Tribolium castaneum: one gene and its partners. The protein of the gene in region 3 interacts with the protein of the main gene of each other region in a pairwise test. Links are inferred from orthologs where the notes say so. Each region holds a gene or a part of one and is shown on either strand. Other genes may lie near its edges. The genes, in order: Prosbeta6, CCDC53 and SCAR.

Region 1 (2,862 bases), on a different chromosome or scaffold from region 3:
CTGTAAAGCATCAGTTGGTTTCACAAAATATTGCTTTCTTCATAGTCATTAGTCATTACATAAACATCTATTTTGATATGTCAGTATTTATTTCAATATTGGGATGATAAATTTATAAATAATATCGGGAACCATAAAATACTGTGAAAAAATCTATTAGCAATGTTGAACCGTTTGAAATTGATAGTTAAGTTTGCCAAAGGAATATTTAACTGAACAACAAATGATTTTTTTAGAGACATTTAAAGTTTTTCAAAAATCAAAAACAAAAAGTCGTAGAGTAAAATGGTTTGTTCCAGTAAATTTTGCGGCTCATACTACGTATCAGTTTTTCACGAGAATTCAAATTTTGATTTTTTTTGCTTAAAAATTTATTATTTTTTTAAACTCACTCTAGGAAAGCTTATGGACTTTTCTATGCCTTTATAACTCACTCGGGTTGTTAAAAGTATAAAAAATGTCAATAGGTTCTTAAAGTTTGAGTTTTTTAATTTTTGCGAAATTTTCTCGATTTTCGGTACCCGGAACATTAATCAAGCAGTAACACCGGAACTATTTGAGATAACCATATGGTCTAATTTATTATCGTTAGAAAGCTCTTTTATCTATATTTTTCAAAAAAAGATGATATTGTTCTCCGGCTAAGAGTTTTCGAAGAAAATTGCGAATAAAAGCAAAAATAGAAAAAATAAAAAAAATCATAAGTAAAAAGCTATTGGAAGTTTGGTGATTTTCTTGACGTCGATTGATTTCCAGGATCATTTTACACAGGCTTAGACCAAAATAATTTAGAAAATAGAAAAATAAAAATAAATAAATTATTTTTTAGTTTTTTTATGATTTTTTCATCTCTGTTGTTAATTTCATCCTCATCAAATAAATTTTTATTGTAAGAAAAGGTAACTGGTTTAGTATTAAAATTATCGTATCGGAGTCAATTTTTTTAAGTTTTAATTAAGATAAATTAATATCATCCACATTAAATAATAAGTCTTTAATTTAAAAGGTTAGCTTTAATTTAGTTTTTAAATTGTCATATCTGTACCAAATGTTTTTTAAGTTTTAAGGTAAATGTAATAAAGTTAATGTAATAAATGTTGTTAATTTCAACCCCATTAAAAATAAATCTTTAATCAAAAGAGTAATTTTTGGTTTAATTTTTAAATAATCGTGTAATACAAATATTTATAAGTGTAATAAATTAGTCGTTATACGTTTAATTATGTTTTTTTTTCACATATTTATCGTAAGTTCGGCGGTGTACCTAAACTAAAAAAATTTGGCGCTGCATGTTATTTTTAAAATATTTATTATAGGCAACCATTTATACAAATACCAAATTCGAGCCGACGCACATTCTTTACTCCATGCCTGGTCTGAAAAGTAGTAAAAAATAGCCTTTTTTGTAAGAAACACGTTTACGACTAAAATTTTGATGATTGTGATTTATTTAAGTATAATTTGTTGGTTTTGTAACGATTCAACCGTGTACGATTTCGGTCGCTTCCATATTTGACATCTGACATCTTATTTTGTGTTGTCATTCAATTCGAGTAAGTGTTAATACGAAATGGCTTTATTACACTCCGAAAACCGCCCCAATTACCCCGACTATGCTACAGCCCCCACACAGCACCACTTCAGCCCCTATGCCGACAACGGAGGGTAAGCATTCCTCACATTAAACCCCTCCCTACAGCCCCTTTTGTAGGAGTGTGGTTGCAATCGCCGGCGACGATTTCGTGGTAATAGGCGCTGACACCCGTCTCAGTGCCGGTTTTTCAATTTACACCCGTGACCAGAATAAATTGTTCCGTTTATCGGACACTACAGTACTGGGATGTTCGGGTTGTTGGTGCGACACTCTCACCCTGACCCGCATTTTGAGCGCTCGCATGCAAATGTACCAACAGGAGCATAATAAAACCATGGCCACACCGGCTTGTGCCCAAATGCTATCAACCATGTTGTACTACAAGCGGTTTTTCCCATACTACATTTCTAATATTCTCGTTGGATTGGATAATGAAGGGAAAGGGTGCATTTATAGCTACGATCCGATTGGACATTGCGAGAAAACCACGTATAGGGCTGGGGGCTCCGCGGGGGCCCTCCTACAACCGCTTTTGGACAATCAAATTGGCTTGAAAAATATGCAAAACGTCAAGGATTCTAAATTAACGTTGGAGAGAGCAGCTGCCATCATCAAAGACGTTTTTATTTCAGCCGCTGAGAGAGATATTTTCACAGGGGATAGCATTTTGATTAACATCATCACCAAGGATGGTATTAAGGAAGATAGTTTTCAATTGAGGAAAGATTAAATTGGTGTTTTTTTTGCTTAATAAATCAGTGTTTGGTATTGATTGTTTTATTTAACAAATATTTCGGTAAAGGAATTCTAATTCTACCACATACAATAATCTAAAAAAATTATAACAAATAGGTCACACTCAAATATCTAAACATTCGAATTATTACTTTGACGTGATGATTGAACCACGGCTTCCTTGATCAATGAGGGACACGGCTTAACGTGGCGCCATCTGTTAGTCAACAATTGGTTGCCATGGTTATTACCACCTAACTAGTGTTGCCAGACCTATTGATTTTTCGGTAGACCTAAATCAGTTTGAAAATATTTACACTACAGTATAGATTTAAAAAAATGTTGAATTTTTATATACTTTAAAATAACACGATAATGATACGAACTGCAAAGGCCCCTGCGTTTCCACGTAGAGTTTTGACTAAAGGGCATTTTTCGAGTTTGCAATAAAGGCACAATAAGCGGGGAATACATTAAATTGGGTTTTAATGAAAAATAAGTCTCAAAATGACCATAATGTCTAAAGTAACTTG
Region 2 (4,098 bases), on a different chromosome or scaffold from region 3:
TTTGCCACTCGTTAGCGTAGCATCAAAAATGTCCAACTCTGTTGATTCCAGCGAGCTTTATGAGACGCTTTGCATTGAAAAACCGGACCAAAGTGGTCAATCTCCGGGTTATCGTGAAATTTGCAACGAAATCGTCAACTCGCACGCGGAAATCTTTCTAGAATCCGATGTTATTAAAATATTAGTGTGGCATCTAGCCTCGCACGAGGACGCCTCCAAGTTGCTATTGATTTCGCCATATTGAATCGAGCAAGCGATGCTAGCCTCAACCCGGGGTCCATTGTATATGGCGGGATGCTTTCCAAGCGTGTTTACACCGCATGCCATAATGAAAAACAGTCGAAAACACCATGGCAACAACAAATTTAGCATCGTATTGTCGCAAAGCCGCCTCCGCGCCGGGAAAAAGCCCCGTTCACATGGCAACCATCCCGCGGAAAACGCGTGAAAACGGCGTTTCCGCGCGTTTTCCACGCGAAAATCCCGACCACAACATCCAACGGCCATGTGACCTTATCGCAAAGCAGCGTAAATGCGAAAGAAACAGTCGAACTCACCTCCGCCGCTCGCTTCGTGCCTTTTAACTCGCATTTGGCGTCGGGCGCACTTTTGTCGTTGTCGATTTTTTCGACAGCAACTTCGTTATTTTCTTTCGAACTCATTTTGTTTATATTCCTGTGTGGGTTTCACGCTTTATCGAAAAGTGACGTTCACCAACGTTGAACACTACTGACCGGCTACTCGTTAGCTTTGTTCAAAAATTAAGATGGCGCCGCTCAAACCGATCGGCCCCGGACTTGGACGAGTGACCGGCTTTCGACTCCCTAAACTATTTATTCACACCAACCGCCAAAAACCAAAAGACAACAAATTCCAAGCTTTTTCGGTGTCTCGGACCCAAAAAACGTGCGCCAGATTTTATGAAATTAATTGCAAGGTGTTTGCTCATGAGGGTTCCGAGAGCACGGATTGAGTTTTACGAACCGGACCGAGATTAAAAACGTGGTTTGAGTATGCCACCGCCAGGGGCGCTCTTCAAAAAATTTCCCTCCACAATCACATTCATTTTATTATTATGCAGAAAAACAGCCGATTATTGACTCAATTTAAAAGGGAACTATTCGGCACGACTTGTTACCCACTAATTAAAACGCCTTTCCCTTGTGGCCGCAAAAATGCGTCTTAAAAACTTTTTCTTCTATTTTTCCTTGCGACCACGTGAAACGAATTAAAACTCTATAAACTTATAACGAAACACTTTTCTATCTTTCATCCAATATAGCAATTCAAAATTCGCGCCAATGTAAACGACGCATGCGCATAGTGTGACACGTTGCATCTCTCTCTTTTTTTTGCAATAAAGAAAATCCCAAGATGGTAAGCAGGTTTTCAATCAAATATCTCAAAAAATCGCAATAATCGGCCTTTGAATTACCGAAAATTTAGCGAATTCGTGCATTTGGCGTCCTTGGAAGGGCACATTCCTGTTTATTTTCGCGTTTTGAGGACGTTTGATGAATTGTGGGGTTATGTCATTGTTTTTAGGTTAACGTCCCGAAGCAGAGGCGCACCTTCTGCAAGAAATGCAAGGTGCACAAGTTGCACAAAGTCACCCAATACAAAAAGTCCAAGGAACGTCACGCTTCGCAAGGTAGGAGACGTTACGACAGGAAGCAGCAAGGTTTCGGTGGACAAACCAAGCCCATCTTCAGGAAGAAGGTATTTTTTTACCTACTTTGAGTGTGGGGCTATTGTGTGTTTTTAGGCTAAAACCACCAAGAAAATCGTGCTCAGGATGGAATGCACTGAATGTAAATATAGGAAACAGATTCCCTTGAAACGCTGCAAGCACTTTGAATTGGGTGGCGACAAGAAGCGCAAGGGACAAATGATTCAGTTCTAATTGTTTGACTAAATAAACACATTTTGTAAAAATTCATAACGTGTTTTATTTATACTTTTAACAATGTTTTTTTAACACAATTAATTAACCGAGGAACTGTCTTGCGTATCAGTTGATTTGGAACTAAAAAATAACGGACGTGTTGCTGATTCGCCAGTGATAGTAGTACTTACTCCAATATGCAAGGGTCAAGTCCCTCTGTTTGCATTTTCAGCTTGACAGCAGCTGGGGGAACCCCAAATTGCAACATTTTGAAAAAGCGTTGATATCGCGGGTCTGACGCAACATCAGGCTCTACCTCTACATTTTTTTCAATTTGCGTCTCCTCGTCTTTAACAGGAGGCAGATCTAAATCGTTTTGTTTAGGCGAGTCCTTTGCAGTGTTTTCTTCTAAATGCGCAATTGAACCTAACTAACACAACCGACTCACTTTTGCGCCAAATAATCGGAACTTAAGGCATTCTAGCATTGTTCAATACTTACTTGCGACTCAAGTATAAGTAAAGAAGCCTCAACTTCTTGCAGTTTGTACTCGAATTCCATCAAACGCGATTCACACGACTGTGCAAAATGGTTTAAAAACGACACCGTATTCATTACGAAATGATTGATAAAAGCAATCGTGCGCTTTTGTTGAATGGGTAAAATCTAAGTGGAGAAGTTGGACGTGATTGTTGCTCGAATGGGTCGCTTTTTTCAAAGACTTACCTGCGTGTAATCCACATTTGGATCAATTGAGGAAAGGTCGTTCACTTGCATTATTTACATTATCTGAGTGAAAAACACTCAAAATTAGGGGGAATCAAGGCATCGGCACAAGTTTATTGAATTAATTGGCTCCAAAGGGACACAAAGAACCTGAGTGACAGCTGTCAAAAGTGACGTTTGAGGTTAGATTGTGGCGAAAGGATCGCTTTTTATGCAATTAACAAACGCAAACACGCTCAATAAAACAGATTTATTATGCCAGATTTATAAAATAACATTGCATCTTGTAAAATATAAAAACAATCACAGTATAAATAAACTTGATATAGACTAAACTACAAACCTTAACAATTTTATAAGAAAACTATCATTGAATTTAGGGCGGTACACAGTACTGTTATATTTAATGTCAAATATTGAACTCGCTTTTGCATTACTTAGACTTAAGTAATGGTGGTTTCATGGAGCACCCTTGTACATATCACTAGCTTGGCAAATATTATCTAGCGCGCTATTGGCCAATCGCGTTAAACTATCAGTCATATTCGGCTCCTGGCGCCCCTCACTCTCGTCCATAAGCGATAGATTTTGGGTGAAAGTCTCTGACAAGTTATTTGTCTCAAGCATGCTTAAATCACCCGAGTTTAAGTCAATCGGTTTCAACTCCAATTGTTGATTGTCCAGATTTAATAAACTGCTTATACCACTTGGCGTTTCACTTAAATTAACACCACTGAGATCATTTTGGGCGGAAGGATTCCAATTCATGTTTAACATATCGCCGACTACTGAAGTCGAAGGCATATTCCAGTTCATCATGCCTCCGATTGGCGGAAGCACGTTCTGGAACAGAGGGGCTTCCGGGGGCGTGGGGGCCACGTAATGGGGCGACACGTTCGGGATGGGCGCCTCGAACATCTGCCCGCCGTACGGCGAAGGCGCCTTATCTAGAAAAAAACACTAAAGCGGGGAAAAATATAAAATTAAATTACCTCTGGGCTCGACTTTAATGCCTTCGGATGGAATGTTGAGTAGGAAGGGTTGGTGCGTCCCTAACAAAAAATCATTAATAAATTGGCCAAATCACAAATTAACTTAAAATCACGCAAAACTACTAAACAAACCAATTGTTAGCCAACATAAGCTCAACCAATTAATAAAACAAAACAAGTTATAAGAAAAAATCATGCAAAACATTCATGTACCTTAATTCCGGTGACAGTTGGCTGCAGCTTATGACGCAATGAAAGACTGTTTACTTGTAAAAAACTTTAATACTTCAGCTGATATAAAGATATAAAGCCTTTAGAAAACACTAACAATCTACCTTTAAACTTTCCAAACAATTGAACATCAACACACTTAAAATTGTATAACTTTGTGTAATAATTCCGATCACAGCCCCATTGATGGATGGGGGATTTCGATTTTGGGCGTAATAGGCGACATATCGCGGCTTTTTAATTTAAAAAAAGGTTAAAAAATTC
Region 3 (4,276 bases):
GTCCAGCACATCCAACAGAACTATCTACTAAAAGTAATTGCATAAAAGTTTTCTTTGTGAAACCACTTTCGGTTTCACAATGAACATTTTGTAAAACCATAATAGTAGTACTATTTTCAATCAGAAACGCATTTTTTAATGTGATTTCGTCAAAAATACACCGCAAAATTATTAAAATAAGTCAAAGTTTGTTACTTTTGCTTTTTTTCGAAAACTTTAGATTTTTGTTTTTTGGCAAAAAATTCATATTGTTTCAAAAGATTAGTTACTTAATCCGAAATAACTCTGAAAAACAATTATTAACGAAATTTTGTCAAAAATAAGCCAAAAGCCTTTAAAACACCTCAAAATTGGCATATCTTTCCAATATAAATCATGGAAATTAAAAAAAAAGAAAAAAATCGTCTTATTTTTGTTTTTTTGAGTTTTTAAAACGTTTGGAAACGTTTATTTTGCAAGGTTTTGCTGAAACCGGCCAAAAAACACAAAATTATCTTGAAAATGATTCCATTTTCACTTTTTTACGGCGTTTTTCACATAGAAATGCTTTATTTTGCAAAATTTCCAAAATAAAGCCAAAAAATCATTGATACAGTTCAAAATTAGTGTAATGTTTGTTTTTTTTAGCGTTTTGGATCTTTTTAGAGCAAGATTTAGATGAATCATATTAAAAAACGTAATGATTTTGCGCTAGAAACCAGAAAAATAATGAAACCAAATCGAAAATTTCGTTATATTTGTTTTGAAACGTTTCTAAATTTAGTTTTTTTTCAAAGATTTTGCTAAAGCGGGTCTAAACAATACAAATTTAAATCTAAAATGACTATTTTTGCAGATCGAAATCAGTGTTCGCATATTCTTTTAGCATGTTAGATCGTTTTTAAGCTAAACACTTAGCTTTTTTGTGAGATCTTGTCAATAGAAATCACAGACATTTGGAAATCAAGTCAAAAATTGTAATGGGTGCTTTGCTTTTAAAACGTTTCTAAATTCAGCTTTTCTAATGAAATGGGTCAAAAAATGAATAATTTAACTTGAAAATTACTTTTTTTGCTTTTTGGGATGTTTTTTATTGTGGAACGCATCAAATATGTCATAATTAGTGTTATTCTTGCTTTTTTAATCGTTTTATTACACAATAATTTGGTTGTCTATTTTATTTTTGTAAAAAAAATCGTCAAAAAATAAAATGTTAATGTTAATTTTTTCAGAAAAAATTTGGTTATAATCAATATTTAACGTAAGTTACAGAAGATTAGAAGATGTTCATAAAATTTTCAGGGCTCCCCTGACTACAGTTTCATTTAGACGCTTTCTAATAGATTAGATTTTGCAAAAATTTTGTGTATGGCTTTAATCCTTTAATCATACTTATTGGGACAAATAAATAAAAAAAGGGGTGTGGTATTATTTAATGAAAAATAATTTTGCAAAAATCGATTTTCAATTTCTTCTGTTGATTACATTCAAAACTTTTGGCAGTGTTTTGAAATCATTTAAATGCTCATAAAGAATATGAATCAATTGGTTGTTCCCTAGATGTGATAAAAACTTGTGTGACAAGACATGTGTGTAGAGTAGATATGAATATGGAACACCTAAATACACCTGAAAAATATTACAACCATGATTCATCAAAATACTATTAACACTTCAGACCTTGGGAGTATTATTCCTGTTTTAAGTATTTACACTAGATAAAGCAGTACATTTTTGAGAGAATTTCGACGTAAATTTTTATCAGGGAAGCCACTCCCTTAAGTTCTAAACTGAATAATATCCTAATTTTTGAGAAAATAGTTATTTAAAATTTAATTAGAAGAATATCACATTTCCATCGAAGGTCATCAATAATATGTCGTTATGCCGATATAAAAATACAGTATTTATAATAAAATAACCATTAAATGTAAAATGAATGATTTTTTGCAAATTAGTTAGAAAAAATTGCGTTTTTGACCTCGTTTTTTTGTTTTCAATTCATTTATTACAGAAACATCGATTTTTAACAATTCTCACTTTAGTAAACAATTATCATAACTGATTAGCGTGATTTAATTTTAAGTATTCCTTCACCTTTCCCAAATGTAGTAGACCTTTGTGTTATTGTTATTTTAGGGGTTGAAGGACGAAAAAATCAGTAACTATGACGACAACCAATCCAATTATTGGATTTCTCATTTCTAATAATAAGTGCCCTTTAAATTTTAACAGAATCACACGTGATTACATCAATTCCGTTTAAAAAATGCAATCGTTCACCAATTGAACTTTGAAACGCACCGCTACAGAAGTGAAAACTAAACCGTTTCAACATTTCTTGAAGAAAAAAGGTTAAATCTCTGTTTCCCGTTTTCGTCACCATATGTTACCGCTTTATGGAAATAAATAAATTAGTGCATGACGTGCGAAAGACATCTGTGAAGGTTATTAACCGCCAATTAATAAACTAAAGCGTGGCAGGAAGTGCCCCAAACTGGCTTCGCTCTCATCAATACTGTCTCCAACAAGGAAGTGAGTCATTAGGGGGCCACATACGCCCCATTTAACAAATATGAGCAAACACAAGCTGCAAGGTCAAGTCATTTGTCGCAATTACGCGAACAGACACCGCAAACGGCCAGATTTTGGGGCAATTTCTCGCAGAAAATGTCAAATAGAAAGGGGAAAGGCCAACTAGCAGGAGTCGAGATTTCCGCCCATTTCTTACCTCGGCATGGTCTGGGACACTCACTGGGGGGCGCAAACGTTGCCACACATGTTTTTGCACACACGACACTAATTGTTTCGTTAAAAACGGCGATAATTTAATAAATATCGCAGAAAATGGCGAAGCGGTACACCCAACAAACACGATTGAGCAGGACTGCCACACCCACGGAGCGAAAATCACCAACAGCAGCGGCGTCGCGTCAATCAATATTGCGGCCACTTTGGGGATAAAATAAATAAAATTGGGGCGTGCGAGGGAAAACCCTCATTTTAATACATTTTTGTGCGAATGAGGGTGTCATTGCTCGACACTTGATGTTTATTTGGGGGAATTACCAGTGGCGTGCGGAACGTACTGGGGATTTTTGTGTTGGCAACGTTATGTAATAAAAAACTGTTTTTCTTAAATTATTATATTTATAAAATAATAGTAATTTTTGTATTAAGTGCGCGAAATGAGTGTTTTTTTAATGGCGCCTGAGAATGTTATTTTAGTCGAGACCGCCAGGTCGAGACCTAAAAGACATTCGAAGGCGCCATTAAAACATGAATTTCGCCACGAAATACAAACAACGTTTTTTCTACAGCCTCCAGATGAAGAAAAAAGTAACAGAAATTAGTTGGAACAAAATGGTCTGATAAATCGAGTTGCTTGCATGGTTACGATGATAAATAAAAGTGATAGTTGCGAAAAATTTGTCACAATAGGTATTTTTGTTGAAGAAGTGTGATGGATTTTAGCAGCGAAAACGAAATAGATGCAATTGCAAGCGCGGCAGTGTCGAATCTTTTGCCTGCTAAATCAAGACCGCAGTACGAAAAAACGTATCTTCAGTTTCGGCAGTGGTGTTCTATGAAAAAGATTGATCAAGTAACGGAAAATGTTTTGTTGGCGTATTTGGAAGAAAAGTCTACCACCTTAAAGCCACCAACACTCTGGGCCCTTTATGCGATGTTGAAAGCCACCTTAAACGTTAAAGAGAATATCGATACACGTAAGTTTCCGAAGTTAGTGCCCTACCTGAAAAGCAAAAGCGTAGGTTACAGAAGCAAGAAGTCGCAAATTTTAGACAAAGAAGACATTAGCAAGTTTATTAATGAAGCAGATGACAAGATATATTTACTGATGAAGGTAAACTTATCATATTAGTGTAATACAAATCAAAACAACTCGTTTTATTTATAGACTGTGCTAATTTTGGGTATATCGGGAGCCCTTCGACGTGAAGAATTAGTTAAAATGAAGCTAACTGACATAGAAGATAAACAGTCTGTCTTAATTGTGAAGGTGCCTGATACAAAAACCCACTGCGAACGAATATTTACTGTTTCAAATTTAGAAAATATAGAAATTGTCAGAAAATATAGAGCTTTGCGGCCTCCACGGGCGACTAGTGACCGTTTATTTTTAAAGTATACCAACGGAAAATGTGTGAATCAAAATGTTGGAATTAACAAAATCGGAGAGATACCAAGTTTGATTGCAAAGTGGCTTAACAAAGACGAACCTAAAAAATATACTGGTCACTGCTTCAGAAGAAGCTCTGCCACTCTTTTGGCGAAT

Evidence for each region.
Region 1: the proteins of SCAR (region 3) and Prosbeta6 interact in a two-hybrid assay, tested with the Caenorhabditis elegans proteins (3 studies listed by BioGRID). The link is inferred for Tribolium castaneum from reciprocal best matches to the Caenorhabditis elegans genes wve-1 and pbs-6.
Region 2: the proteins of SCAR (region 3) and CCDC53 interact in a two-hybrid assay, tested with the Caenorhabditis elegans proteins (2 studies listed by BioGRID). The link is inferred for Tribolium castaneum from reciprocal best matches to the Caenorhabditis elegans genes wve-1 and ddl-1.

What each region holds. Positions count from the first base shown.
Region 1 is NC_087394.1:25,341,564-25,344,425, reverse strand, and holds Prosbeta6 (proteasome subunit beta type-1), read left to right. Parts: upstream 1-1,446; 5' UTR 1,447-1,570; coding exon 1,571-1,665; intron 1,666-1,711; coding exon 1,712-2,324; 3' UTR 2,325-2,362; downstream 2,363-2,862. UniProt on the Caenorhabditis elegans protein: Non-catalytic component of the proteasome, a multicatalytic proteinase complex which is characterized by its ability to cleave peptides with Arg, Phe, Tyr, Leu, and Glu adjacent to the leaving group at neutral or slightly basic pH.
Region 2 is NC_087402.1:711,130-715,227, forward strand, and holds CCDC53 (WASH complex subunit 3), read right to left. Parts: upstream 2,794-4,098; 5' UTR 2,663-2,793; coding exon 2,612-2,662; intron 2,552-2,611; coding exon 2,387-2,551; intron 2,316-2,386; coding exon 2,077-2,315; intron 2,027-2,076; coding exon 1,984-2,026; 3' UTR 1,904-1,983; coding exon of another isoform or gene 1,766-1,903; 3' UTR 1,720-1,765; coding exon of another isoform or gene 1,546-1,719; 3' UTR 1,378-1,545; coding exon of another isoform or gene 1,375-1,377; 3' UTR 663-1,374; coding exon of another isoform or gene 558-662; 3' UTR 557-557; downstream 1-556. Other genes in the region: acidic leucine-rich nuclear phosphoprotein 32 family member B, read right to left, coding at 558-662; RpL36A (large ribosomal subunit protein eL42), read left to right, coding at 1,375-1,377, 1,546-1,719, 1,766-1,903. UniProt on the Caenorhabditis elegans protein: Acts as a component of the WASH core complex that functions as a nucleation-promoting factor (NPF) at the surface of endosomes, where it recruits and activates the Arp2/3 complex to induce actin polymerization, playing a key role in the fission of tubules that serve as transport intermediates during endosome sorting.
Region 3 is NC_087399.1:10,151,438-10,155,713, forward strand, and holds the start of SCAR (actin-binding protein WASF3), read right to left. Parts: upstream 2,871-4,276; 5' UTR 2,711-2,870; intron 1-2,710. Other genes in the region: uncharacterized protein LOC107398411, read left to right, coding at 3,443-3,844, 3,899-4,276.